2 linked regions of the Astyanax mexicanus genome follow. The protein of the gene in region 1 purifies or fractionates together with the protein of each later gene. This does not show direct contact. Links are inferred from orthologs where the notes say so. Each region holds a gene or a part of one and is shown on either strand. Other genes may lie near its edges.

Region 1 (15,496 bases):
CAATAGTGGCAGATAACTGCTTACATAAAAATAACATGCAGATATTTAGATCTGACCTATTTGTCTTACTAATATGGTATGAAATGTATAATCCTATGAAGCAGGTCATATACAGTAAATATTAAAGTTATTTAAGTACTTGGATATCTCACCTTTTATTGCTTCCACAAGCAGAACTATGGTCAAAATAAAACCTAACCTCTAAACTTAATACATCTTAATGTCAAAGTAAAACAGTAATTTTAATGTGATATATATATATATATATATATAATATTGTAGTAAAATAAGTGATCACTTAATTATTAACCCCCTTTATAGCTGCAACTCAACAGAAGTCCATTACTGATGATTCTCAAAACTCATCCAGTTGGTTCTGTTTTATTTATTGCATTACAGAATCTACACGCTGAGCTGCGCTGCTTCCTTCACTACCTTCTGCCGTTTTTTTGTACAGTTCCAGTATTTTTTCCTAGTTCAATGTTTTATTTCTAGTTTTGGGATTTGTCTCTGCTTCAGCTCCTTCACCTCTCTACGTTCCCAGCATAGCTGCTGACAATTTTAACGTATTAACTATTTTTAAATGTATTTCACACTTGGGCCCAATCTCATTCTACCTAAAAACTGTAGGGTAGGGTGTCCCGATTCTTGTTGGAACATTGCAGTAGGGTACAGTATTACCTGACCCTCCAAACAGTGATTTTTCAGAGGCACACTACAAATAGAGGGCTATGAGAAATCATGGTAGCATAACAGCACAAGCAACCAAACAAACCCACAAATATAACTGGAGTTTTCTTTGTTAAAAAGTACAATAATCATTCCATTATATTTAATGTGGCTTAAAGTATTGTGGCCATTTCTCAGAACAAGCATAAAAACAGGAGACCCTATTGGGGATTTTAACTCTTTGTAACACAAGGGGTTGGGTACCAATGAGAAATGGGATTGAGCCTTATTCTCCATTTACTTTAACAAAGTCTTTTAAAGTCTTTTTACCTTCATCTCTGAAGTCGCTCTTACATCTCCTTACTTCCTGCTCTCCTCTTTAACCTGCTTCCACCTGCTGATCAGCATATTCATGGTTCTGGGTATGCTGTGTCTTTGCAACAGAGCTAAACACCTTAAATACTGAAGGATTTCCCACCACTGCACTGCACAGACACAAAAACTCAAAGCACATTCCCTGTTTAAAACAACCCTGTTAAAAATCAAACAATGATATAAGTGTGTGTATTCACTATTCCTCTTCTCTAGCTCCATAAACTCCTCTCCTTTCTTTGAGTGAAAAAGTGAGAAATGTGTTTGTGAAGAAAAGCTGTCCACGTCTGGGAAGGAATGCTGTATAAAACACCATTTAATATATTTAAACAGATTAAAGAGCACATCAGCACAGAGACACTGCTCTGCCAAACAGAGTATTTGAGTATGTGAGTATACTCATTAAAAAGTTCATATTTGAGTGGAAAATACAGTTACAGCAGAAATATATACAGGTTTGGAGTCACGGACTCACACTCTGTTCAGCTTGGTAACGATGAGTACTCGCACACACTGGTCGAAGGAAGAACACACACACAGACCCTGTTTATCAGGACTCCAGTCCAGGCTGGAGATGGGCTGCGTGGACAGCGTAACATTTTGCAGGAGGTTCAGTGTCCCAGCCACTCCTCTCTCCTCTCCATCTCCATCCATCTCACTCCTCTTCGCTGGATACTCACTGCAATAACACAAACATTCATAAAAATCATGCATTTAAAAACATATATGTATTAGTTGTCTATGAAACAGGATTTTCAGTATCACAGAGGCTGCTATGAATGTGTGAGATTTTTATAGTGGTACCAGCAATGATTTACTTACTATTTCCATAAGTGCAGGTTTCCTGCTCCACCTGCTGTCATGAAAATGTCTCGGTTTTGAGGCAAATGCCGTACTTGCCATACTGTAGACTTATGAGCCTAAAAAATGTAAAAGAGTAAATGAGCGTGTACAAATCGGAATACCATATTTTTCACACTATAAATTGCACCGGATTAAAAGGTGCACTATCAACAAAAGCATCAGATTATAGGGGGCATTATAAGCAACAAAAATAAGAAACGAGGGTGTCGCATGTTAATCTACACAGATTTCTCCCCTGAAAACTGTTTATTTGGGTGAGTAAAGTGCTTCCGTTTATTTACAGTAAGCTTTGATTTCCAATATGTTTAACAGTGCAGTTAGCAGCAGCGCTAGTCGTGGTTAGCAAATACTAGTAAATGCGCCCGACAGCGCTACACAGAGGAACCCTGAGTGTCAGGGCGCCATCAGCAAGCGGTTCATCCAATGTAGATTAAAGGATTTTAAGTGAGCCTTATAGTGCGAAAAACAATACTAAGATAAACAGAAGCTCCACAGATCTACATTTATATCAGCAACATTCACGTCAACTTCAACTACCTTTTCAGATACAGAAGCAAAGCCTTTGGTTGGGTGTTCAGTTCTCATGTCAAACACGTGGAATTTGCCCTCTAAAGATGTTGCCACCAGTTTGTTCATTTGGATATCCTTCCTGTCAAATTCAACACTGCACACCTATCAAAGAGAGAATACAAATAAACACACAATTATCATACTTTTAAAAAGCTATAGAGACAACACTGCAACATTCATATTAGTGGTTACTTTTTGGTATGTTTGTTATGTTATGTAATAATACTTATAATACATAGATTAGTAATATTCTACAGCACAGACTGAAAGTATTCGGTTCTAGGCAAACAGTTCAGCCCCTGATCAAACTAAGAACCTTTGTTAATTAGCTAAACTAAAATTGCTTGGACACTTAACTTTAACTTGTTAACATTTAGCTGTAAAGTCTCAACCAGACAAGGATTGTCTGAAGGTGATTCCAGAGCTTAGCAAATTTATAGGATTCCTTAAGCAGCTGACTGAGAATAATAAACCACAAATAAAGCTAAATAAAAGGAATTTGTACCAAAGAGAAGTCATAATTTAGAACTATATAACTTTAGAACTGTAAAATTAATCAAATAAAAAATACCTTAAATTAGTCAAATTTAAAGTTGCTATATCTATATAATAGGGATGCACAACCGTATCAGAATTCTATCTGTATGATAATTACTATTTTAGAAACACTGGTCGATACTAATATAATTCCAATATTGTTGTGCATCCATAATATATACATATCAACATGTTCTTTGATTACCATCAGAAATGTCAAAATTGTTAAAATCAACTGCATAAATCACTGAGCTAAAAACCCAGTATCTTTCACATGCTGAAGCAAGAATTTAAGTTCACCTGATCTAAACAGAGCAAAACTCTATATAAACATCTAAATATTCTAGATAATGTGGAGAAAACTGCAGCTTTTTTTATTAAAGGTGCTGCTGACTGATAAAGTAAATATATAAATCATGGAAAATCTATAGGTTAATGTATACGTTTGTGGACATTTTTTCTAATAGATAGAACCTCTGCTGACATTGTTGTGCAAGTGCACACACAGCTTGTCTAGTTCCTGCCAATAGAATAGGATTCCCTGGAGCAGATAAATATGAACCTTTTTGGTTCATTTGCCAGCCACTGGCTAGGAGTGTAAAGACCCCAGAGAAAGTGTGCTGGAATGACACTTTTTAATGGGATGAGTTGAGGAGTTGGGCATAAGGTGGCCGTGATCAAACAGCATCCAAACATCACTAATGCTCATCACTAAACTCAATCAAATCCTCATAGCAATGCTACGAATAAACACTATTTCAGAAGAAGCAGGAACTGCAATACTTTTTTTCCATATATGTTCGAAAAGACAAAAAACAATATTTGATTATAAAACATTATGCATTGGGATTGTGTGGCAGCTAATGTAAGAGAATAGTTCCTATTTACAGCACTGAAAATCTGTGGTTCGATGTTAAACATGACATTTACACAAGACACCTCAACATTGATGTCTGATTTATTTGATGTTTGTAAAGCAGTATTAAACTGTAATCCTAATCACAAATTGTAAAGGTTTTAATGCTGTCCTTATAAACTCTGGAGCACTGGGGTTGACAAAAAGACCAAAGAAAAATGTTTTGCAGAAAACCTGAGGACATGATTCCAACTAAAACTAATAAATCGTACACTTAAATGAGAAAGAAATAAAATTTCACATACGCCATTTTTAATGTTTTTCTCCCATCGTACAGACATATTCCGCAGGTCAAACAGCTTGATGTCTCCATTGTCGTAACCAGCACACACACAGCGGTCCTGGTCATTAAAGGCGTGACCTTTCAATGTAACATAAATAAATAAAGATTTACAACTAAATGGAGTAAAACATGTTTGTGCTTGTTGGCAAACTTTTGACATATTAACTGGATATAGTGTAAAATACACACCAAAAGCAACTGTCCAACAATCTCTCTTAGTTTCTCCTTCGACTGGCTCCATGTTTGCCACAGGTGTGTCCTTTTGTCTCGGGTCCCACACCTTAACTGTACCTACAAAAACAAGTCAAAATACGTACGCCTGATTACAAACTACTGTTCGTACCTAATAGCAAACTTTCTATTGTAGTGTGCATCTCGAAAGCAGTAACGCATACCGTCTCTGCTTCCTGTAACGATTTCTGGAGCACCATCTCCAATACCTAAACCTCCAACGCCATCAACAGCGTTCACTATCTCCTTATGGGCTTTCACCGAGTAAACCGGGACATCCGGCGCTTCCAGATTCCTAAACAAACATTCATACTTCAGTCAGCCTGTTAGTAAAAACTCTAACATACTAGAAAGAAAAAAATTTAAGAAAAAAAAATTATTAATACCACACGTGTAGATTTCCATCAAAGTCTCCTGTGGCCAAATGCCTCTGCTGGAGAGATGAAGCTCCAAACGTCCCACATTTTATGGGCTTGGTTTTCTCCGTCTGAAATACAGAAACAGAACACAAAACTAAGCAGTGCTAATGAATGCAGTCATGAGCATGTGTGCGGATCAGTACACTACATGTAGGATTAGATTAAATGTAACTTAAGATCATAAAATCATGAGTACATACAAATGTTTAAATATATACATTTCCTAGAATTTTGATCAGCACTGTGGGGAACATAAGCAAACACAGTCAACGGCCATCGTTGTTAGTAGGGATGCACCGAAACTGGGATACTCAACAAAAATAACAAAAAAAAAATCAAGTAATAAGTGTTAAGTAAAGCTAAAGACAAATTTATTCTGAACAGTATTGTGTTTTGTTAGAATCTCTGCTTGGAAGTTATAAATATTTAAAATATCGAGACACATGCTGCATTCATTGTTTCTGGTAATACAAGTTCTAAATAAAAGTTTATCCTGCTTTTATTGTAGCAACTGTGACATCTGGCCAGGAAAGACTTTCTACTAGATTTGGAGCAATGCTGTGAGGATTTGATTGCATTGGATGACAAAAAGAGCTACTAAGTGAGATATCATAGAATTTGAAGTGAAGAGAGGTGGAGAGATTAATAAAGGAGTATGGGTGGTTGATGAAGCCCTAAAATAATATCACAATATTTCATGGTATTTTCGTGATCACAATACTCTTGGCAATATGACAAAACACTGAGTTATAAAAATTATTACAAGAATACACTACTGCAACAAAATGAAAAAAAAAAAAAAAAACTTAATCACAGTTTTCATGCATCTTGGCATGTTCTCCTCCACCAGTCTTGCTCACTGATTTTGGATAACTATATGCCACTCCTGTTGCAAAAATTCAGGAAGTTCAGCTTGGTTTGATGGCTTGTGATCATCCATATTCCTCTTGATTATATTACATAGTAAGTTTACTAAAATTTAGTAAAATCAAAGAAACTCATCAGAGTTGTATATTTCAGTGTTGTTTTCGTATCACACGAGGACGTGGCTGCTGTAAAAACACGCTGAAATATATTATCAGAGCTGTCCCTGTTAATCCCCGTTGCTATGACAACCGACAGCCGGACTGTTCTAGAAATCTCAGAGACATTAGCGAGTTACAGACCCTCTAAACTAGAGAATCAGACACTTTTACAGCGATACAGTGATAAAGAGCTAGAGTTCACCTCTTTAACGAGCTTTATGTCTCCGTGCTGCAGCTCGTAGATCTGCATTAATCCGGTTCCTCTGCAGGAACTTCCCAAACACACGAACTTCGCGCTGCAGGGAATCCATTTACTGTCGAACAGCGAGTAATTCAGACTCTTCTGACTGTGGGAGACAACTTGCGGCTTGTCCAGTGGAGCCGACATCCCGCTCCTACCGCTATATAACTTTACTATATAAAATATATATTTATACAGCTCTACACACAGAGCTCCACTATACAGAACTCAGTTCTCTACTCTAACCTGAACTAACTAACGTTAACGCTTCAGTGTTGCACTCTGACCGACCGAGGACCCCTGAACCAACACCGCAGCTGTCCACAGAACTGCCTGACCGCCCGGCCCATACAAATATTTATTTTTCAGACCACATCGTAGACAGCCCTGCCCTCAGCACACTAACTCTATTTCATTTCAATCTTAAACACAGTTTAATCACATTTCTCTCGGTGTTTATCTCCCCTCGCCGCGCTGCTCCCGCTTTTATTCAGTCCGGCGTGTTCAGACAGCTCGGCCCGGGGTCCTTGTGAGTAGAGTGAGGGAGCGCGTGCTACAGGTAAACAGGGAGTTATTAATTCTCCTGTTTTTATTGAATCTGAGGAATAAACACCAAACCCTCCAGCATGGAGACCGCGGAGAGCACGCTGCCCGAGCCGGGGTTTGAGGAGGTCCGGGGGAAGCGGCGGGAGAAGCGGAAGAGAGCGGCGCAGGACGCGGGCATGGAGAGCGACGAGCCTGCTGCGCCCAAGAGGCCGCAGTTCCCCCCCATATCAGGCGATTTACTGCAGGTACAACACTGACCGGGTTCTGTCCTGTGACCCAGGTTAATAACCAGGCTAATAATCGGATTGACTCCGACGGTAGCTGCGGGTTTATTTATAGAAATGTCAAAGAGTTTCTGAGGGCAAAGCCATACACGTGTGCTGTTTTGCGCATGCGCAGATCCTCAGCATGAGCAGTAGCCACGGTACTTGTTAGCAAGTGTGTTTACTAAAAAAACTTAACCTAACAAAAAATATATAAGCGCTCTAACAAAGTTATTACACCTAATGGTTATGTGTACACTACCCCATAAAACCAAGCACACACGTATCCAGTAGAAGTCAGAGACACGCTGTTTGTTCAGGCTCGTTCACACGTGTCCAGATCGATAATATGTGGGCTTTAAATCCTGGTTCCATAGGTGTTCACACGTGTAAATAAGATAATGTCTAATATTTAGGTAACGTTACAAGGATGGATACAGCAGACAACATTTTAGCTAGCTGTAATCAGGTTGTGTTTATCAGTGTTGTTGATGATGATCTATTAATATAAGTTTGAGTCTCTGGTATTCTCGCTCAGCTCGTCTAAGAGCCATTTCGTCACTTCCATCTCTTCAGTCAGAATGAGAGAGTTAGTGTACAGGAGTTTACAACACTACAAAATAAGTGTTTTTATTGTTGTTGTTTTGTTATCTTAAACATATCTGGTTTGTTTTTCAGGGAGGTGCTGATGAGATGAGGAAAATACCTGTTCCTTCTCACCGCTACACACCGTTGAAGGACAACTGGCTTAAAATATTTACCCCCATTGTTGAGAACCTGCAACTTCAAGTCAGATTTAATCTCAAAACAAGAAATGTTGAGATTAAGGTAAAGACAAATTATTTCATTAAATGTGGTTGTGAAAGGGCTTGGAACTGTGAAACTCTTTCATTATTCTTCCTTTTCGTAAATGTATTTATTTATACATTTTCAGACGTGCAAGGAAACACAAGATATTGGTGCGCTCACGAAAGCAGCAGACTTTGTAAAGGCATTTGTTTTGGGATTTCAAGTTGAGGTGGGTATTTAGACACAGTATTTTGAAGATTACAGTGCAGTGAAAAAGTATTTGCCCTATATAGATTTCTTGTTTTTGCTTTTTTTGTCATACTTACATTTTTCAGAAAAAAGATAACCTAAGTGAATATATAAAAAAAACAGTTTTATTGCAGTTGTTGATGCCAAAAACACATCTGTACGGGGCAAATACTTTTTCACATCACTGTATATTTATGAATTACTGTGAAAAATAATTTTTTGAACTGTTCCTCAGGATGCACTTGCACTCATCAGACTGGATGAACTGTTTTTGGAAACATTTGATGTCACAGATGGTAAGTCTAATTTCAGCATTGATGTGCATTTACTCCTCGTAATGTCTCATTTGTAAAGTGGTTTTATTTGTGTAATTTTAGTTAAGCCTCTGAAAGGAGATCACCTCTGTAGAGCTGTTGGTAGAATAGCAGGCAAAGGAGGAAAAACTAAATTCACTATTGAAAACGTCACCAAAACTAGGATAGTCCTGGCAGACACGTGAGTGCATTGTAAATGTTTGTTCATTTTTTGTTTAATTGAACAGTTAATTGCTTATTTTAAGAAAAAATATTCATTTGTATGTGTGCTAATAAATACATTTTATCTTTTATTTTTGCAGGAAGGTTCACATATTAGGATCTTTTCAGAACATAAAAATGGCACGGACAGCTATATGCAATCTCATTTTGGGTAAGTAAAGGCAGGCTGGTGGCTTTTAACCTGCTCCTGGAGTATTGGAACACCTGACATTCACTGTTTCTTTTAAATTTATTTTAAATAATTTTAAGTGCTTTTGTTGGAGTAAATTCCAATTTATAATTCTGCATCGAACCTACGCCATAACCCGACGCACACCTCCCCAGAAATGTAACTATAGAACTCTGACAGCAGCAGCAGCAGCTGTGATTGGTCTACTGAGCTTTGTGTTCCTGCCTTCATGGTTTATACTGCAGAGTGATTCAGAGTCGTGTACACATGAATACAGAAGAATAAACATGCCCACTATGTCAGGCTCTCACGCAGACTACATTGTAGGCAATGCGTTGACTTGACTCAGAAGTATAAACCAGCCTTAACTGTGTCTCCTGTGCAGGGAAGACTTTATACTTAAAACATTTCTTTGAGCAGTTAATTGCATTTAGCTACATAAGCTTCATCATTTTAGAGAACACAGTTCCACTGTGTAGCATTAGGTATGGGGTGAAAAGGATCATGTTTTATCTAGTCCTATTCTATTAGCATCAAGTACTCTACAGAGACTAGACACACTGTGTGTTTGTGTTAGCACATCCGTGTCAGCAAAGGGTGCAACATAGATTACCTTAATGTTTTTATACTGTTTTATATGTCCAAAAAAATAATAATTTAAACCGTAACCTAATACCCCAACCTTACCCAAATAAAAGAAAGGTGTTGGATTTGAATTGTAACGTGCTGTAAGGGAGCTCTGTGGGTGAGGTTTGGAGGCCACTGAGCTGTGTGTGTGTGTGTATGTGTGTATAAGAGGTTGGGTGATGAAATGGATGGTTAGTAACTGGATTGATGTTTCCTTTCACCTCATCAGGGAGCCCACCATCAAAGGTGTATGGGAACATCCGAGCGGTTGCCAGTCGTTCAGCTGAGAGATTCTAACGCTGGCTGGATTTCTCTGATCTGGGACCTGTGGTGCAGCTGATGGACTCATACAGAAATGTGGCAGATTAGACACACAGGAACACGGGTCTGAAATATACCCAACCGGAACTAAAGAACTGTCCCGTCATTTCTGACTGTCTGATGGATCAGTAATTTCTGTAAATATTCACTTAAGAATTGATCAAAAATAAATAAAAATCACATAGCGCTGGAAAAGAGGCAACTCATAGATTCAGTGAGAAATGTGATATTTTAAAGATTTATTTTCATACAGTATCAAGTCTGTGTATTCCCACAGTAGGCAATACAATGCAGCATGCAGAGTGAACATCCCACACCTGAAATGTGGTGAAATTCCCATTCCATCAAAGTAAAGCTGGAGTGAAGTTTACTTTCCCCATATAAATGATGTTTTAATATTAAAAAAAAAAAACCCACCACAACCAGTATGTAAGATCTTCTGTTTGACTGAGTAAATCCCAGTCAGGTCCCTGCCACTCTAATTTAATCAGGAACATTTTAAAAGAAATGAGTTAACTAAACATAGGCAACATCCATGATTCTTAGATATTTGATATTAACATCACAATCTAAGTGTAAACAGTAGGAGTGCTGTAAATTGGAAAACATGCAGAAAGGAAAACGTGCATGCAGGCACTGGAGAAGCTCCAAGGGTTTCAAGATGCACAGAGAGCTGCAGTTAAAGAACGATGAAGGAAATACAGAGAGTGATTAAAGAGGAAAACCTTCTTTCCCCTCAGACTCTAAACTTGTCATGCGGAAACTTTCCAGTGTATTGCAGTCCCACCTAAACATTAAATTCACCATTAACAATGGAGTTATCATTTTTAATATGACCAGTTTTTTGCAGTAGATTGATTTGATATATGCTCACTGATAGTATATTAGGACTATTTCAGTGCACCTGTTTTAAAAAGACCCTAAAGAAGACGATGTTTAGGTAAACTATGAACACAGCTGTTTTCTTGGCATCTGTTTCTGTTTGACTGTTTCACAAGAGTTAAACACAAGTTACTCTGCAATAATATAAATATTTATAAATAAACAATCTATCACAATTGAAAACGGTATCATGGAACATGATTAAATGCAATAATGATAAATATCGCATACCACAATGTGTAAAATAAAAAACAAAAATGTTTTTGGCTTGAAAAAAAAAAATGCACCAAACATGTTTGCCCAAAAAATAATAATGACAGGCAGTATTTACGTAAAGTTTGTCAATTCCATGTTCTGATTGGCACATCATAACCAAGGTCTGTACGGATACTGAATATTATTTTTCTCCTCTGAAAACAAGTTAAATAGCTGATTAGAAAAAGTTACAGACAAAATAAATACTTCAAATAATAAATAAACATTACAAAACAAAAAATGAACAAGCCAACCCGTCTTCCCTTCTCCAGATAGAGACACTCATAGCCGTTTTTCAGTCAGTAAAGTGCTACACCAGGTTATTGAGAGGGTTTAAGTTCAATAACACTTCACCAGGCTCGTATTAGCAAAGGGGGTAGCTCAGAGAGTAAATACTTCTGTTGAAATATTATAGAGGGCAATGCTGGATATCTTGAGCAGATCATCAGAGGTGGACAGGAAAGCGCGGGGCGGGGGGCAGTGCAGGCCGGACACTCACACGTCCACTACCATCTTTTTGTGTATGTCGAGACCGCCGACAACCTGAGTAAAAAAAATGATGTATAAACATTTTACTATTGATACTAGATAAATTGAAGTTTAGCCTGTTGGTTACAGACAGTATCATTATCTGTAAACTGAAACATTCAAAGCATCGGCACAGAAGTCCTCTAAAGGAACAGTAAAATTAACACCACCTGCGTGCAACTTTATAACGATAGACACTTACTGCGCAGAACTCTTCAAAAGATATTCTCCCATCTCCATCCTTATCTGCGTTGATGATGGTCTTATCTACGATCTGCTGCAGCTGTGTGTCCTTCAGGTTGTTCCCCACCATCATCTTCAGGACTTGGAATAATTCCCCATTGGAAATATAACCGTCTTTATCCATGTCGTAGATCCTGAATGCGACTGAAGATACACAGAACAGAGTTAGATTCAGTGGTAACGCATTACAATAAGAGTAAGTTAATTAACAGTGCTAATGACAAAATGTCTCAACTAAATATTACTCGAGACAAGTCAAGACTTAATTAAACACTACAACATTTTTATTTCATTTTAATTTATAACATTCTAATTCATTAAAATTGAGTAATGTTTAATAATGTCTTAACTACTGTCAGTACTGTCAATCATTAGCTCAGAATGTTTGACTCACATCGCAGCTTCTGTTCCTTATCTCCCTTTACGCTGAACTGAGAGACACCCTCTATAAACTCTGGAGAAAACAGAAAAGAAGCTGTTACAGATACAAAATGTGGAAAAAGTTTTTTAGCACAAATTTGCAAAACCCTCACTGTTCCTTATTGGGTTTCATTCTAATCCAGAAGAAGCACAATTTTAGGATGTAGGGTTAACATAAGTGTTAATAACATGGTAATCATTATGAAGTATAATAACATATTCTATCACTCTTTGTTAAAATAATATTATAATATCTATAAAACATAAAAACTTTCAATAAAGGTCATAAACTAATTTGTATATGATTAAGTGAAATACGTATTTAATCACCTACCAACCAGCAAGGCACAAATCAGTCCTGTCCCTTTAAGACAGTACTCTAAATCTCAGCTCATTATGTGTATAAAAGACCCCTGTCACAGAATCAGTCTCTTCCATTCAAACCTCTCCACCATCAGGGGCAAGACCACAGTGCTGTGAAAGAACATCTGAAACAAGACTGTAGACCCGAACAATGCTGGAATGATAAGTTATTAATGTAAATATTGTGACAGGTCTACTCTCTGCACTTTTAAACCTTCCCACACTGGATCTTATTAAAACATTGTAGAGTGGCGTAGTCTCACTGAAGCAGTTGCCTACTAGTAGTGGTGTAACAGATCACAATTCTCACTGTTCAGACCATATCACAGTTTAACTTTGCTTTCTGTTTTTTTAATACGAAGAAGTCTGTAGTGTCTGTGATATTTGTGTTGGATCTCACAAGTTTATGAATAATATACATTTTTTTTTATATTTATGACCAACATATTTGTCTCACACTCTAATTACTTACTAATTAACTAATTAATTACTAATATTTTTGACAGTAAAACCACACAGAGAACTCAATGTTTTGTAGGTGAATGATTTGACAATATTCATCATTTTAATGGTAACTCCTGTGAGTGACTGATTTAATAAAAAAAGGGCATAATCTGGTATAATACCCCTCCTCTGTGTGCTCTGGCCTGTTACATACTTAAGTACCTGGGCCTGATCTGTCCCTGTGTGGCTTGTATAGAGGGGGGCATGTCTGTAGCACCAGACTCCACCCGCTCCACTGTTAGCAGTCACCGCACTGCAGTTCCAGCTGTCTGTGTTTAGAGCACCAGAAGATAACTTAGATACCGTCAATAATTTGTTGACAAATTAGATTTAGATTTAGTTTTCTGTTGATAAAAAAAAAAACGGCACAATGTTCGTACCAAAGTGTGAGCTTTCAGACCCAAAGTGTTTTTGTTACTGATTAATTTAAACTAGTGACTTTCGTTTTTAAACAGTCTGCTCTTTTCTATTAAAAAAATATGGAGAGGTCGGAGTCTTTCTCTCTTGCATTGTGTCTGTATGAAACGGCCACTCCTCCCACTAATATAACTCTGCTCTCCATTCACACACCAGTGTTATCCACTGTAGATGTGAAGTGCTGCCTAAGCCGTCCACTCAATTCTGACACACCCCTACTGACTGGTAAGCTAAAGCTAATATTAGGCTTGTGCTATTTATCTAGTATATAATAACTGGATAAATGGATATATACCATATTTTTCACACTATTAGGCACACCAGATTATAAGGCGCACTATCAATGAACATCTATTTTCTGGTCTATTTCCATAAATAAGGCACACCGGCTTATAAACAACAATAGTAAAGAACAAGGGTGTCGACAGGGTGTTGTCCCTTCTAACTCAGCAGGTCTCGCTGCTGGGGGGATGCCAGTAATTCTTAAAAAAAAAAAAAAAAAAAAAAAAAAAATATTCAAAGTGAAATGAGCCCTGGAAGTAAATCTCCACAGATCTACTCTGTTTATTTGGGTGAGTAAAGTGCTTCCATTTATTTACAGTAAGCTTAGATTTCCAATATTTTCAACAGTGTGGTTAGCACCAGCGCTAGCCTAGGTTAGCACCAGCGCTAGCCATGGTTATCAAAAGCACTTGCTGTGGTTAGCGGTGCTTAGCGCTAGTAAATGCCGCCCAACAGCGCTACACTGAGTAATTCTGAGTGTTCCGGTAACCCAGCACAATATTAGCTAGCAGTTTGTCCCACGTAGCTTGTTTTATGACGATAAACACACAGACTACAGTCCAATATACTTACCTCTAACATCTAGCAGAGCTAGCCTTGCGGTTAGCGGCTAATGCTAATGCTACTCCAGCCTGGCGAAACTTTAATAAAAGTCCTTAAAAAAGCTGCACTTCATGCTGCTCCTTACACACATAAGGCGTACCGGATCATAAGGTGCACTGACGATTTTTGGGAAAATTAAAGGATTTTAAGTGCGCCTTATAGTGTGGAAAAATACAGTATGCATGCATGTCAGCTTGTTCATGGTTCTGCCTTACCTTGGAAGTCCACTTCCCCATTGCCATCTGTGTCGAATATATCAATAACCCTCTGCACCAGTGGATTCTGCTGCAGCTCTGGCAGGGACATGAACTCCTCCACACTCAGAGATCCAGAGTTATCCAGGTCCAGTTTCTTAAATCTCTTTCCTAACCTCTTAATCTCATCAGCATCGACTGGAGTGGAGAAAAGGAGAGAAGATAAGAGGAAAAAAAATGAACAAACATAGCAAAACTAACATCCCCTTATACACACCTATACCTATACACAACTCAGTGCTAACTGCAGTGACCTGAACGACCCAAGCTGCTGCAGGTAAACAATTAATAGAGTCCTGAGAAAATCAGCACCCTGATGAATATAGAACACACTCACATCCTGCAGTCTGATCCCTCCTTTCTGAAGCAGCCATGCTTTCTGTTCTAACATCAGGCTGATCCACTACAGTACGTCTCCCCACCTACACCCGCTCACATCACCACATTAAACCTGTCCTACAGAGTCTCCACTGTCTCCCTGTAAAACACTGCATCCAATTCAACATTATTCTACAAAACATACAGAACTTGCTCCATCTTATCTGTTTAACTAACTGACTCCATACAGACCCTCCCACACTATCAGGTATTCCTCTACTGGATGACTTCCTACGACACCCTCTAATTTTCATGGTTCTTCTCCAGGCTGGCATCCTGACTTCGTAACTCTCTTCCCTCACAAATCAAACAGGCCAGCTCTGTTCCTACATTTAAAACTAAACTCAAAACCTTAAGATCTCTTCTCTGATGCTTACGTCTGTTCTTAAACTTTATAGCCTGTAATTATATTACTGTGATTATGCTTTAAAATTCTGTAAGTTACAAAGTTCTTGAAAAGCACTCTATAAATATTACATATTATTATAATTATTATTACGCCTCCATGCCATGCTGCCCCTGACCTTTCACACAGTAGTACAGCATCATTCTGTAACTATAAACTCAGCCTATCATCCTCCCCTCCATTTAAAAAACTATTTACAAACACCACAATACTTTTTGGTTGCTTGTTGGTAAGGTTATGGAATTCACTCCTCTGCTAACTGCAGACTCACTGGAAACAACATGCATTTTTGCATCAGATTAGTGTAAGGAGAGCGATCACAGTGATTTACTGG
Region 2 (15,381 bases), on another chromosome or scaffold:
AAAGCGAGAAAAAAGAGTGAAAGAAAGAAAGAGAAAAAGAGAGGGAGGAGAGTTTGTGAATGCGAGAATGAAAAAGAGCATTAACATTGGTGTGCATGACCAAAACCGGTCTGTGTCTTTGTAAAATACAGTTTAAGGGACCCTCGACAGCCGGCGTCGTCGTCATCTATGCCCCATCCTTGGTGTAGAACTTCTTCAGAAGAACATTGGTGGATTAACTTCATGCAGTAGCTCCTTAACCATGGACATGTATGATGGACAGTAACCAAAACATGTAGAAACCAGTTAGAAAGCCAAACTTTACTTTTACCTTTTCTACAGTTGGTACAGTTGAGTGTTTTGTGTTCGAGTTCTAATCTAGAACAGTGGCTTGCATCCCTTTCTGATTTGGTTCTGGAGAATCTCCTCTTCTGCACATTTTAAGAGTTTTTCACGTCTACAGTTGGTGTGCTCTGGTTCAAATTAGTGAATTTAGAGCATTTTCTCCTTGATTTGGTTTCTAAAAATGAAAATCTGCCTGATCTGGCCCATAGTTGGGTCAGATAGAGGTCATCACCACATTTTCACCACAAATAAAACCAACACACTCAAATGGGAAAGGCTAGTCTTGGTATTACCAGCATTTTTAATGGAGATTTTCCATTTAAAAAGTGATCTAAACACTATGGGGCTGGTTTCCCAGACAAGAATTAAGCCTTAAAACTTTTTGGAGCATTTTGGAGATTTTCCACAGAAAGGAAAATATATAGTCTACTCCTAGGCTTAATTCTTGTTCAGAAAACTGACCCTATGTGTTCGCCCAGAAAATTAACCAATAAAAAGCCTTTTAAAGCTAGTTGAAGGTAGGAAACCACCTAACGGTTGCAGGCCAGGGGGTTCTCCAGGACCAACATTGAGAAAACACTGCTGTAGAAGACTTCTTTTTTTGTTCATCTTCTTTTATGCTTTCTTAGGCCACGTCGACATATATCCAGATATTTTTTTTTTTTAAATTAAGGTTTTGTTATTGCTGTGTGGACAGTCAAAACAGTGCTTTATATTTCTAGCTGAATCTCGATTGCCTCCATGTTTCCTAAGAAATTATCCACATAAGTCATTAATAAAACTACAACGTCTATATACACACACAGCACTAGAATTTTAGGTTTTCCACTTGTGATTATTATTGTAAATACTCTTCTAATACAGATATATAATGCTCTGTTTAGATTTAGAATGTCAGTGCTGTGCAGTTCCCCTTTGTTGATGACGTATGATGTGACATTTTGGCGGTTCCACTAAAAATGGTGGAAACACAGGCTGGTTCTCTAAAAAGCACCACGGTTCTCATAAGCCTGAAAAGAGTTCTTTTGATGGAAGAGCGATATTAGAGTGTAGTGGTTGAATCTATTGTATTAGCTTTTCATTCTTCTTTATGGTGGGTTGATGCCTCACTTTATGAGGTACTCTATATCGCCCCCTACAGGGCTAGCATGCTTGGAATAAAATCTTAGTTTTTATTAAAAATATCTGGATATGTGTGGGTGAAGCCTCAATTTCACAGTTTGGTCCAAAGATGATTTTATATTCTCATTCATGTGCCTGTTGCGGAAACATACACTGTACATATTACTCAACTGTTTCATTGTCTTCATTGTTTTTCCTCTTTTTTTAGGTTTGTTTTTGTTCATGCGTCTGACAATCATTTTTTTGGTTGTTTTTTTTTGTGTTGATCTTTTTTGTGTTTTTTTTTTTTTTCCTTTTCAGTGTGTGCATGTGTATTTGTTGGTTTGTGTGAGCGTGTCTTCATGAGGTTGAACTTTTAAGGTGGACTTTTCTCCTTTTGCGATTTTTCCTGAAGAGTAATTCAGATCTCAGTGCCACAGGAAGAATTTCCTCGAAATTCATTTTTGTAACTCCAAAGCCGACCCAAGCTGGCATTATGTTGGTTAGACTGGCATTCATCTGTGCCATGTAAAAAAATATATATATATGTACAAAAATGTGTTTGGGGGGAAAAAAAACGTATAAATGGATGCCTTTAGTGAATTCAGTAATAGTGCAATAATGTATATTGGATATCAAACCAAAGCAACCTCTAGGCCCCTCCCCCTGTAACTGGTCATCCACTGGTTAAACAGCTTAAACACCCCCCTAATGTAATGCACTCGTAGACGGTTAGAGGAGTTTCTGTAAATTTGAGTCTGATTTAGTTTATGTTTAATAGAGATTTTACTTACTGACCTTTTCTTTTCTATGGAATCTAAACTGAAATCATATCTCCTTTGTTTTACAGATGTAATCAAAAGAATAAAAAAGTCACTTGTTTTAATATGTGAGGTAGACATTTAGTATCAGCTGTAATGTTTGATCTTTAGAACTGTGATCTATTTCCCACGAGGAAATTAAATTGGCTTTTTACAGGAACGGTTTCGGTTAAGTGTGTTTTGTGCCTTATCACGTGTAAAGAACCAAGATCTGAATAAAAAAATATATTGATTCCTAAATGTGTGCCTTGTTTTCTTGAATTAATGCATATTTTTACTAAATTTGAACATTTAAAAATATATATTTAATTAATTATTCATTTATATGTAATTATTGGTGTCAGAAGTGGATAACTTAGTGCACTAGATAGTGATCTTGTTATATCCCACTGTTCTGATTGGTTAAAAAAAAAGAACTTAAAGATTCATTTTATCAATATTATATATTTTTCTGCTCTAAAATGTTACAGTATGTCAATATATAAACAATATAATATATTGTGATATTAAATCATAATCTCTGTACCGCCAAGTTTTTTTTGCCAATACCCAGCCCTAGTAAATGTGAAGAAACAAAACAAAATTACTTTCTGTAATGATTTATTTAATTGTAATTTATTAACCGTATTAAACATCATTTTTACACTAAAGTATTTAAAGTAATGAGTCAAATATATACATAAAACTGTATCAATGCATAAAGACAGAGTGACCCGTCCAGACTTTCAGATGATTTTTCAGTTTCTCTTCCGTTCCTTCTGTACCGGGAGACTCCTGTTGTTAACAGTCTGGGGTTTCTTGGGTTTGTAGGCGGCAGATTTGCGGATGCGGTCTCCCTTCACATTAACGATGTGAGGAAGCAGCGGCGGCGTCCGTAAACACAGTCCTGCTGCTTTGGGAGCGTGAGCCCGCAACCGCAGACGCTCCCCCTGAGCTGCCGTCACCGAAACCCAACCTGACACAGACCAGAGTTCAGATCAGATTAGAGCTTTCTCTAATATTGTACTAAAATTTTGACCTAATTTAACCTAACAGACTGTGTTTGTCTATTTCCTTTATTTTATATAATCTGGATTTAGTTATTTGAAGTTATCAGGTGATTTACCTGCTGAGGACAGTTTGATGTCCGTCACCGCCGTCTTCACTCCTTGACCCTCCAGTTCAAAGTCTTGAGCTTCAAAAGGAGGAAACTCTTTCATGCGCTCTTTTCCACCCATTGGCACCTGAACAGGAAACAGAGGAGTGTGAACACTTACCTTCAGACCACCACCACCAGCAGATCACCATCAGACAACCATTAACAGACCAACACCTCCAGATTACCACCATCAGACCTCCATTAGACAACAACCAGATCCACCATTAGACCACCACCAGATCACCATTACACCTCCATCAGACCACCACCACCAGCAGATCACCACTAGATCACCATCAGACAACCACCAGACGACCATTACCAGACCAACACTAGACCAACACCTCCAGATCACCACCATTACACCACCATTGGGAACATTGGAAGCTGTTCTTTATATTGAATCAGATTTGCATGAGGAAAGGACCAATAGAAATGCTTCACAATAATTCTATGAACTCTTTTTACACTGATCTCCACTAAAGGTTAAGATGTTTTTCATGTTAGTATAAAGCTGCTGTTTTGGAGATAAAGGGTTTCTGAGGGTCAGCATTGATCTGGTGCTTTATCACACAGATATTAGTATTATTTGAGTTGTAACTCACAGCCAGTAGAGAGTTCCCCGCATGTTTATCGTAGACGGCGTCAGCCTTGTCCAAACTGGTGATGTGCACTGGAATTTGTGAAGAAGCGACGACCGTAAACCAGCACGACTGATTCCCCTGCGGACGGTAAAAGAGATCATTAATGATAATCAGAGATATATAGTGTAAAAGTAAAAGTACTAAAATACGGTATGTGTATCTACTGGAGTATTATTTTTTTACTTTACTACTGTAATGAAGTACTTAAAATACTGTATGTTTATCTACTGTAATATTACTCTTTCTTCACTACTGTACTGAAGTACTAAAATGCTGTATCTGTATCTACTGGAGTATTATTTTTACTTCACTACTGTGCTTAAGTACTAAAATACTGTATCTGTTCTCTATTGGAGTATTTTCTTTTTTTTTTTTCTTCAATACTCTTTATTCCTACCTCCAGGTAATCAATGCGTGCCAGCGCTCCCAGAAACAACACCATGCCAGGCTTCAGCAGAAACGTCCTCGGGGTGATGGCGTGTGTGGGCGACACTATCTTCACCTCCTGTTCGTTTAGCACACTGAGAACCTGAAGAAAACCCAAAAACATCGTCCCATTTCCACACTTCTGTTCCAAATTACCTTCAACTCATACACAACCTCTTACATCATCACTCACATCGTACTCCTTCATAATGCCGGGGGTATCGTAGAACCAGTGGGCGTCTTTAATCTCGTTATAGGGCAGCTCAGTCTCCACAGTGTCCGTGTCCTCGCGCGGTTTCCCTACGCTGTCCTCAGTAAGGTCCTCTCCGAAGCTGAGACTGTCCGGGTCGAACTCCACCAACTTCTTCTTGGACTGATCCACTCGGAACGTCCGACCGACCCGACCTGCAATCAGATCTCTGATTTATATAAAGCTACTGATATTTCTATTTGGGGTTAATTGGACCCCAGAATTTTAAACCTTCAGAAAATTATTAGAAATACATTTTTACAGATTATGTCATGTTATATGTGTTTGTTGACTTATTATAATTATTATTATATTCTTTACAAAAGACCTCCCTGTTAAAACATCTGGTTTTAAAATGTTCTTGACCCCAAAGAACATTGATGCCTACAACAGATAATAAGAGGGTATAAATACTGTGTTTATTAAAGAGAGTTTGTCGATTTCCTAGACTCAAATCAGGAATAACCCTGGACTATATCCTGTTTATTTTACAGCGAAAAAAAAGAAAGTTAAATCCATGTCCTCATGTGATTCTTTGAGCAATGCCAATGAAAAATCACTTTTATTTTTGATAATATATAGAATTATAACCTTTTATTATTTGAATTTTCTCTAGGTGGCTTAAAAGAGCGCCATTAAGAAGCAGATAGACTTCATGCTAAAGTACAGCTTTTAAACATGGTGGAGGTAGTTTCATACACTCTTACTGTAAGTAAGACCCCCAAAGTAAAGTACAGCTTTTAAACATGGTGGAGGTAGTTTTACACACTGATAAAGATCAGGGTTCTATTCAGTACAATAAAGTTAAAGCTAAACTCTAAGTACCTCTACTCTATTGTTGTAGCATAAAGGTTACAGCAGGTTCTCTACTCACCGACCAGGTACCCCTGCCTGCTGAACTGCCTGATCCTCTTCAGCTCCTCCGGGCTGAGGTCCTCCTCCGTCTCCTGGGCCGCGAGGCGCAGACGCTCCGCCCGCCGGAACAGCCGGTACGGTGTTGGATTGATGATGGGAAACTTCAGCAGGTTCAGTGTTGTTCCTTCATAAACAAGGATGAAAACAGAGTGTGTTCTATAATAAGTGTATAGTTCTATAATTACAGATACTACATAAATACTGTATCTACTGGAGTATTATTTTTACTACTTCACTACTGTACTTGGGTACTAAAATCCTGTATCTATATCTACTGAAGTATTATTTTTACTTTACTACCATACTGAAGTACTAAAATACTGTATCTGTATCTACTGGAGTATTATTTTTACTTCATTACTGTACTTTAGTACTAAAATACTGTATCTGTATCTACTGAAGTATTATTTTTACTTTACTACCATACTGAAGTACTAAAATACTGTATCTGTATCTACTGAAGTATTATTTTTACTTTACTACCATACTGAAGTACTAAAATGCTGTATCTGTATCTACTGGAGTATTATTTTTACTTCATTACTGTACTTTAGTACTAAAATGATGTATCTGTATCTACTGAAGTATTATTTTTACTACTTCACTACTGTACTTGGGTACTAAAATCCTGTATCTGTATCTACTGAAGTATTATTTTTACTTCACTACTGTACTGAAGTACTAAAATGCTGTATCTGTATCTACTGGAGATTTTCAGTATTTTAGTACTACATTTTACAACAAACTACTTGCAATACTTGAGTACAGAAAACGTTAAATACTTTAGTACTTCCACTTAAGTGTAAAGCTTAAAAAACACTTCTACTTAATTCACTTTTTTGACCGAGCACTTTTCGTTTTACTCAAGTCAAGGTCTCTAGTAATAATTCAGCACATAAAAAAACGATTAAAAAATAAACTCATCTAAAATATGCAATGAAGTATCATTAGAGTACAGATACAGTATTTTAGTACTTAAGTAGTGAAGTAATAAATAATACTTCAATAGATACAGATACAGTGTTTTGGTACCTAATTACTTAAGAAGTGAAGTAAAAATAATACTCTAGTAGATATAGATACAGTATTTTAGTACTTAAGTACAGTAGTGAAGTATTTCTTCATCTCAACTACACATTTTTGGTCAGAATGTTATGGTGAGTGTGTGTGTATATCTTCGAGAGAATATATATATAATATATATTACCTGGCCATGGAGAAATGGTGGCTTTGTGGATCACGTCTGAGGCTCTGGACTTGCAGTAGTCAGACTCCAGCAGGGTGTTGAACAGCGTAGACTTGCCAGCGTTGGCGGTGCCAACCAGATACACATCCCCCTTATACTTCCAGGACATCTGCAGCCTGGTGATCAGGTTCTCTATGCCGTACCCAGTCTTAGCACTGATGAGATGGATGTCTTTTTGGTCAGTGATGGCTACACCTGCGTCTGCACAATACTGCGCCAGCTGCCCTCTGATCCTCTTCAGGTAGTTATCTGTGTCTCCAGGCAGCAGGTCCACTTTGTTCCCCAAAATCACCACATGCTTGTTTTGGCCCACGAGTTGCGGCAGGTCTGGGACGATGGAGTCTGGGAGATCCAGAAGATCCACGATGAGCAGCACCAGCGCTTTCTGAGACTTTATTTTACCGACTATTTTCCTGTATTCCTCTTTGGACATTGTGACATTCAGAGCTTTCTGGTGGTGGACGAGTAGGAAGCAGCGCTGGCACACCGCCTGCTTTAAGGAGTCCTCCTCGATCAGCTGTTTGAACTTCTCGCTGGGGAGGTACCCAGGTACTTCAGGGATGGTACAGTGCATCAGGGCACCACAGCCGGTGCAGCAGGAGTCACTTACTGGAACTTCTGCGTCCGGCGTACCGTAGACTTTATGCTCTTGCTTCTTTTTCAATTTCTTCTTATTAGATGACTTTTCCAGTGGAAATCCCTCGTCGTGGAACTCAATGGACGCCTCTTGGTCCACCTCCTTGGTGGCAACATCTCTCAACGACTTCAATTGAAGCTCCAAGGCCTTGTGCCGCAGCTCTGCGCTGGTAATCTTGGGCGCTTTGTCCTCTTTGACCTTCATGGACTCAGTTACGCGAAGATGCTCTGGAACATCTTCTTGTTCTTGGTCCTGAACATCAGAAAACTCAAGAAAAGCAAACTCCTCCTCTTTATCTGGCTCTACAGAGGAGTACACTGCTTTGGTCTGATTAGGATGTAGAGTGGAAGATAATGAAGATGATCCTGATAATGACTGAAGTCTTTCTTTATGTATTTCAGTTCTTTCAGAGTCTTTTAAAGTCACTGTCACAGTGGTGTGAAATCTTAATCTTAAGCATTTAGTCCTGTCAACTGAAACACAGCTGTTTCTGCTACTTTGAGACAGAAGACCCGAGTAAAGGTGACACCATCTTCTGTTTTCTAGCTCTGACACACGTTTTAAACATTTAAGAGACGAAAACTGAACCGCAGATAGCTGTAATAATTTAAACATCGTGATAACATAAGCAATATATATCAATAAACCGATATAAACATTTATACATTACAAAAAGAAATCTCAGATCAACTCACGAACACACGTGAACACAGACAGGAGGAGTGTTTTCGTCTGTCGCTGGTAAAAGACGTCATCAGTGTTGTGTCGATTTCTGCTACCTGGTCAAAACTTGTTGCCGTGCTGTGTATTTTGTAATAATTGGGATAGCAAACGAGATTTGAACAACGATGCTTTCAGTAAAAGTATAGAAAAAATATTTGTTTAATTTATTATGATAAAAAACAACATATAAATATGTAAAAGCGTGTCAAATTGTGTGCGTAGAACGACTGAGACCATATATAGCTCAATAGCACAAATCGACAGAGCACCGGATGCTAATATAATGACACTTACGCTATTTTCTAAAAAAAAAAGAAGAAGAAGAAAAGTATTTAATCGCCAAACTGTTTTATTATGTTTTAAAATAAAGTATACATATACAATACAATAAAAAACTAGTAATAGTAATAATTAATCAACGTGTCTTTTTTTACTTTACTGGATTGTGTAATATATTGTAAATAACTGACATAATACATGAATTCAAATCTTGCATTAAGAATAAACAAGTACGATTTGATTTTTTACATTCAAAATAACTAATTATAAAATATTTATATAAATAAAATGTTGTAAAATAATATATGAATGTTTTTTTATTTTATTGGATTGTGTAATATATTGTGTACAATTGATATAGTGCACTAATACAATACAATATGTAACACTAGCTTAACTCATTATCATTAGTTATTATGAAAAGAGAGAAAGAGTAAAAATATTTTTTGTTAATTTATTTTCTAAACAATCTATCATAGATGTTAAAAAATGCCGTATTTTTGGGGTTATTAACATTTTTTTAGGAGTTTTTTTATTGATATATTTTACTTAAGTAACGAAAAAATATATATTATTTAAGATTTTTCCATTTTCAGTATAATACTTTGCAGTAAACAAAAATACATAAGATTTGTTTATTTTTTATTAGTCAAAGTGACACATATGATTAAATAATTATATAATTGTAATTAAAACTCACACAAATCAATTAAAACCTTATTCCTAGTAAAAGCAAGAGATCACATATATGAACGTACAATTCGGTCGCGAGCACCAGAAGTGACGCCACGCGCGCGCCGGCGGCTCGGTGAACAGATACAGCGCGTTTTAACGGGACGTTTTTGTGTTTGTTTACCGTAAACAAGGCTGTAAACAACAGTAAACATCATGTATGATCAGGATGAAGGTTTGTTTAAAGCGCTGGAAGCTTAAATACTCTGTTCTGCTTCGTAATTCGGTTTAATGTGCTGTAAACTGCGCGTTAACACAACGTAGTTAGCATGTTAGCTTAGCAGCTCTTTATAGACAACAGACTATTCTCTCATTTAAGACTCAAAATACTGGGATTTCTGCTTTATTTCAGTAATAAATGCAGTTTATTTTTCGATAATCACTCTTTAAATTATATCAGCGGGTGATTTTAAGCTTTGTTTGTACTAGAATATATAATAAAAAAGCGTATCTAGTTAAATAAATAAAGTTTAGGTAGCTAGCTGTTAGCTAACCTAGGCAAGTGTTTCAGAAGTTTGTAGGAATGTTGTGGGCATATTTTCACGTGTTTTTTTTTTATATTATTCATACTGATTATAGGACGGTTATCAGTACGTAATATATATATATAGTAATAAAAGTTATGTCTTGTTATTGATTGCATTTTACCAATATGATTTATTTCAGTAAAATAAAAAATATATCTCTGTTTCAGTTAGATTCTTGTAGTTACTTGTTTGCACTCAGTTTACATGTTGACTGCATTCTGAATTGACCAATCGTATGCTCAAATAAACCTAATATATAATATATACAGCTCTAGAAAAAAAGGTTTGTTGGTTAATTTTTAATTCACACAAATTATTAAGGTTTTCTACTGGCTGTTCCTATATCTGCAGCACTTGAAATGTTTTAAAAATTAGAAACTGTTTTGCTATTATCTATAGGTAAAGATATAAAGTTTCTCATCTCCTGTTTGGGTGGGTAAGATCATAGCCTAAGCTGAGCTATAGCTACCTCTGGCCTTGATTAAACCAGATTTATTTGCTGCTGTTGATGCACTGAGAATCTGATAGTCTGCTGAAAATGTAGTTTAGTCTCTGAGAATAAACCTCTCCCTTTCTTTCTCCAGATATCCAGTATGATGAAGATGATGATGAAATCACCCCAGATCTGTGGCAGGAAGCCTGCTGGATTGTTATCAGGTAGATAATGTTGCTGCTTTAATACATTGAACTCTGTTATTTAAGCATTTTGTTCTAAATCAAATGTCCACTGGCCAGATGTTAAAAATATGCTTTCTCTTCTTTATTCTCCAGCTCCTACTTTGATGAGAAGGGCCTGGTGCGACAGCAGCTGGACTCATTTGATGAGTTTATTCAGATGTCTGTTCAGAGGATCGTGGAGGATGCTCCACCCATAGACCTACAGGCTGAAGCTCAGCACACCTCCGGAGAGGTGGAGGAACCGGTAAGTTAATGCCGAATGTGATTGCACATATCTAGCATCTGTTATTATAATAACAATAATATAATAATTATTAATATTATTTTATATCGCCCACCCCTAACGTCAGCTTTGTTTAAATAGTGTTTTTTTCCAGTGATTTTGTACAATAGGTTATCAAAAAAAGTTAATTGTGACAGGCCTAAACTCTGTTTTTATTCATCAATAAAACATAAAATGCTGTTTGTGAAAGTTTTTTTTTTAATGTGATTTTTTTTTTTTTTTTTTTTTTTTTTTTTTTTGTAGCCTCGGTATCTGCTGAAGTTTGAGCAGATCTATTTGTCCAAACCAACACACTGGGAAAGAGATGGAGCTCCATCACCCATGATGCCCAATGAGGCCAGACTCCGAAACCTCACGTGAGTACAACAGCCTTTGGGGGGCGTGTGCAGGTGTGATGGATCATAGTATAAACCAATAAACCAATAGGGAGTCGGAATGGTATATGTTTAGACTTCTCTTCATCCAATCACAATCAGATTCACTCTATCTGGATGGAGAGATTTATCTGGATAGGGGTTTTCTTGAACGATGAGAAGCCGGAATGAAAACCAGCTGAAACTAAATAGGTTGTTTTTATTAAAATGTAAGGAGTAGAAAGTTCAGATAATTATGTGAAAATGTAAGAATAAGATGTTAAAAGTTGTGTGATTTATTGTGTAAAATGCTCTGCTGGTTCAGGTACTCGGCTCCTCTGTACGTGGACATCACCAAGACCATCATAAAGGAGGGAGAGGAGCAGCTTCAGACGCAGCACCAGAAAACCTTCATCGGCAAAATTCCCATCATGCTCCGCTCCACCTACTGTCTCCTCAGCGGCCTGACGGACCGTGATCTCTGTGAGCTGAACGAGTGTCCCCTGGACCCGGGGGGCTACTTCATCATCAACGGCTCCGAGAAGGTCAGGATCTGATAGCTGATTTCATCTTATTATAAATACCACTTTATCATCGTTTATAAATGTTTCATATACTCTCTTTTTGCTCTATTTAAACGTTTAGATTAGATATTTTGAAGACAAAATCCAGGTTAGGTTGCAGATAAATGCCTAATGTGATTTAAATATGGAAGTTACCCGTGCCTTCCCAGCTTTAAAGAAATAGAAAAATAAATTATATTTTATTTACTGTAATGATTAACAGTGCTTTTAGTGGACTTGTTTGTGGCTGGCAAAAAAAAAAAAAAAAATTTGATGAAAACGTTCATTGCTTTTTTTTTATTGTAATTTGTTTAAAATTTCTTTTTTTTTTATTTATACTTTCAGTTACTTTAAGCACGTTATTGACTTATCATACAATAAATGGACATGACCTCAATAATATTTGAGAATTGTGGTAATTAATCATAATGTTGACTTTAAAAGGGTATGCATGCTTTGTTTTGCTTTTTTGTAATCATTAAATCAGTGCAATTTATTGGTCTTTAATATGCACAGTAAAATTGTTTCACAGTAAACCACAAAATATTGTTATTTTGACAGGTCTAGTTCTAGGGCTTGGTGATTTATTTAAATTGCATTTTTACTGATATATTTGTTTTTTAAAGAATTGTGAAAACAGTAATTGAGATAATCGAGATTAAAATATGCCATTTGATTTTTCTTGTTAAAAATCCAGTGCATATCTTGTTTTAATCTGTGTGATTTTGCTGCATTGACTTTTTATATTGTATTTTGTGTATTGATTTTATCTTTTTAACTTCAATTTAGTGCATGATTACAGTCGATGAGTATTGACAAAAATAATTAGGATTTAGTTAATTAGTTTTTTTGCTCATGACCGTATTCAGTAGTACTACAGTAATTCAGAAATTATTAAATCATTAATACGATACTTTAAATGTGTGTAGCCTGTCCTGCATCATTTGTACCAGATATTGCATGATTTCCTGAATATAATATAATGCTGATGTCTGTATTTGCAGGTTCTTATCGCTCAGGAGAAGATGGCCACTAACACGGTGTATGTGTTTGCAAAAAAGGACTCTAAGTATGCGTACACGGCCGAGTGCAGGTCCTGCCTGGAGAACTCCTCCAGACCCACCAGCTCCATCTGGGTCAGCATGATGGCCAGAGGAGGACAGGTCAGAACACACCTTTACACCTTTATACAATTACACACTATATTACCTCTCTACTCTCTACTGTTCTTGAGTTAATCTGAAGCTACATGAAGTTTGAGGTGTGTGTAGTGATATCTGAAGCCAGCATGCTTAGCTGCTGCTTTTATTATACACCTGTGGACACAGAGCAATATTAAATAATATGAAATAATTAAAACTAGGGCTGTGCCGTATCGTGTTGTACGCATTAATATCCCCAACATTTTTAAAATATTGTGAACGATATTATACCATGAAATATAAATATCCTGATTAATCACATCAGGGTACTACTCTTTTGCTTTTTATTGCACAGTCAGTGTTATTTTAACACTGTATATTTGATTTTTCTGTTTTTTTTTTTTTCAGGGAGTGAAGAAGAGCGCTATCGGTCAGAGAATTGTCTCTACGCTGCCGTACATCAGACAGGAAGTGCCCATCATCATCGTGTTCAGAGCTCTGGGATTTGTGTCCGACAGGGACATCCTGGAGCACATCATCTACGACTTTGATGACCCAGAGATGATGGAGATGGTAATTACCTGCTTTAAAACACTTAAATCAAATCAGCAATGCCTGGGACTGGGGATTATTCAGATTCAGCATAAAATATTATTTTTTTCCCTTAATATTTCCCTTAACTATCCCTCAAAGATGTAGTTTTAGAAAAATATTTGGAACAAAATTGTCTAAGAGCTTTCTAAAGGTACATAATTGGATCATCCCTTAGATATCAATTTCTTCTAAAGTAATCCCTTGAAAGCAAATTAAGTGTTGTGTGCAGTCACTTAATGGTTTAATGGTCCCTTAGAACAAAACCTTTAACTTTTAACACTATACAAAAAAAGCCTGATCATGGCTGAAGAGAATTCTCAGTGCTACACTCAAATTCTGACAAAGGTTAAAGGGAAACTTAATGTGAAGCGTTCTTTTGTTGCACGTGTGTTCGTTACAAAACTGACTCTCTCTTTTCTCTCTCTCTGCATCTCCACAGGTGAAGCCGTCTCTGGACGAGGCCTTCGTGATCCAGGAGCAGAACGTAGCTCTGAACTTCATCGGATCCAGAGGAGCCAAACCTGGAGTCACCAAGGAGAGGAGGATTAAATACGCTAAAGAGGTTCTGCAGAAAGAGGTTCTGCCCCATGTGGGAGTTTCTGACTTCTGTGAGACAAAGAAAGCCTACTTTTTAGGGTGAGTATTTCAGTAAAATTAGCACTGTCCTAGAAATAATCAAGATACACAATATTAATATAATTTATTGCCATTTATTAATGGTTTTATTTAAGACCATTTTATAACACTGATTTAATGATCTAATAATAGCACAACAATGCAGTTAATCTTTTTAAATCTTTTTTAAAGAGGTTTTACAGAAGTTTAAAATATCCAGACATTGGTACTTGACTATATAAAATATTTATGTATTCTAATGAAATAAAACAAATGCAAAAAAAGCACTGTTTGTGTAGAAAACCGAAATATCTGCTCATTCACGTTTAATAATTGTATTATTATCGTTATTGACATCCAGACAACATTAGAGTCAGAAAAGATCTTGAAAAAGACTTTACGTTTAGTTTATTTAACATTTTAAGTGTGAGATATACATTTAATAAAAATGAGAAAATGAGAGATGTATATTTTAAACACTCTAGCAGGCTATAGAAACGTTAAGATAAAAAGAAAAAGTTTTTATTAATTTACTGCGAATTTACTGTGAATCTCACCTGTGGCTCCAACATGCATCCAGTTTAATGGTGTTTTACTGCCATGGCTTTGGTTGGTATACATACTGTACTTATGTGTTATAATAATGTAGACCCAGCTAATCCATTATTAAATAAGTTGCTAACTATATTTATAACTGATTAATCTATAAGTCGATTAGTTGTTGCAGCTCTGTTCACATTAATAGGCTTTCCACAATAATAAAAAATAATCGCCAATGTCAAGAACAGCAGAAGTGATTGAGGGTCTGTCTGTATGTTAAACGATAGTTCTGTAGTTATCATAACAGCATATACCAGATATGTGTATATTTACACTGATGTTTCTGTTTGTTCTTTGTTTCCTGTACTTTATTCTGTAGTTATATGGTGCACAGACTGCTGCTGGCAGCTCTGGGCAGAAGAGAGCTGGATGACAGAGATCATTACGGAAACAAAAGGCTGGACCTGGCCGGCCCTCTGCTGGCCTTCCTCTTCAGAGGGTGAGAAGATTGAGTATTATTAACCATTACTAAAAGAGACTTTGAGAAGAAATTGAGTATGAAAAGTTGAATTAAACTCTGTCTAACTCTCGTCTCCTCTCCAGAATGTTTAAGAACCTGCTGAAGGAGATCAGGATCTACGCACAGAAGTTTATCGACCGGGGGAAGGACTTTAACCTGGAGCTGGCCATCAAAACCCGCATCATCTCTGATGGGCTGAAGTATTCTCTGGCCACGGGCAACTGGGGCGATGTCAAAAAGGCTCACCAGGCCAGAGCTGGAGTGTCTCAGGTACACTACATCATTATAAATGAACAGTGAAGTGATTCAAACAAATCAGAATACTCTGTG

The links.
Region 2: the proteins of dnaaf10 (region 1) and polr2b purify together in Homo sapiens (affinity purification with mass spectrometry; 3 studies listed by BioGRID and IntAct, with this or other methods). This does not show direct contact. The link is inferred for Astyanax mexicanus from reciprocal best matches to the Homo sapiens genes DNAAF10 and POLR2B.

Annotation. Positions count from the first base shown.
Region 1 is NC_064414.1:16,650,255-16,665,750, forward strand, and holds dnaaf10 (dynein axonemal assembly factor 10), read right to left. Parts: upstream 6,528-15,496; 5' UTR 6,275-6,527; coding exon 6,089-6,274; intron 4,930-6,088; coding exon 4,829-4,929; intron 4,738-4,828; coding exon 4,607-4,737; intron 4,503-4,606; coding exon 4,401-4,502; intron 4,290-4,400; coding exon 4,174-4,289; intron 2,578-4,173; coding exon 2,443-2,577; intron 1,962-2,442; coding exon 1,864-1,961; intron 1,721-1,863; coding exon 1,513-1,720; 3' UTR 1,340-1,512; downstream 1-1,339. Other genes in the region: RNA-binding protein PNO1, read left to right, coding at 6,754-6,918, 7,615-7,764, 7,871-7,954, 8,210-8,270, 8,352-8,469, 8,591-8,661, 9,536-9,603; ppp3r1a (calcineurin subunit B type 1), read right to left, coding at 11,260-11,307, 11,495-11,679, 11,930-11,989, 14,340-14,516. UniProt on the Homo sapiens protein: Key assembly factor specifically required for the stability of axonemal dynein heavy chains in cytoplasm.
Region 2 is NC_064426.1:1,735,983-1,751,363, forward strand, and holds the start of polr2b (DNA-directed RNA polymerase II subunit RPB2), read left to right. Parts: upstream 1-9,276; 5' UTR 9,277-9,392; coding exon 9,393-9,411; intron 9,412-10,347; coding exon 10,348-10,420; intron 10,421-10,534; coding exon 10,535-10,685; intron 10,686-10,967; coding exon 10,968-11,080; intron 11,081-11,402; coding exon 11,403-11,622; intron 11,623-12,644; coding exon 12,645-12,803; intron 12,804-13,190; coding exon 13,191-13,355; intron 13,356-13,815; coding exon 13,816-14,012; intron 14,013-14,910; coding exon 14,911-15,030; intron 15,031-15,134; coding exon 15,135-15,321; intron 15,322-15,381. Other genes in the region: noa1 (nitric oxide-associated protein 1), read right to left, coding at 2,984-3,201, 3,352-3,469, 3,990-4,106, 4,426-4,557, 4,648-4,859, 5,579-5,743, 6,827-8,117. UniProt on the Homo sapiens protein: Catalytic core component of RNA polymerase II (Pol II), a DNA-dependent RNA polymerase which synthesizes mRNA precursors and many functional non-coding RNAs using the four ribonucleoside triphosphates as substrates.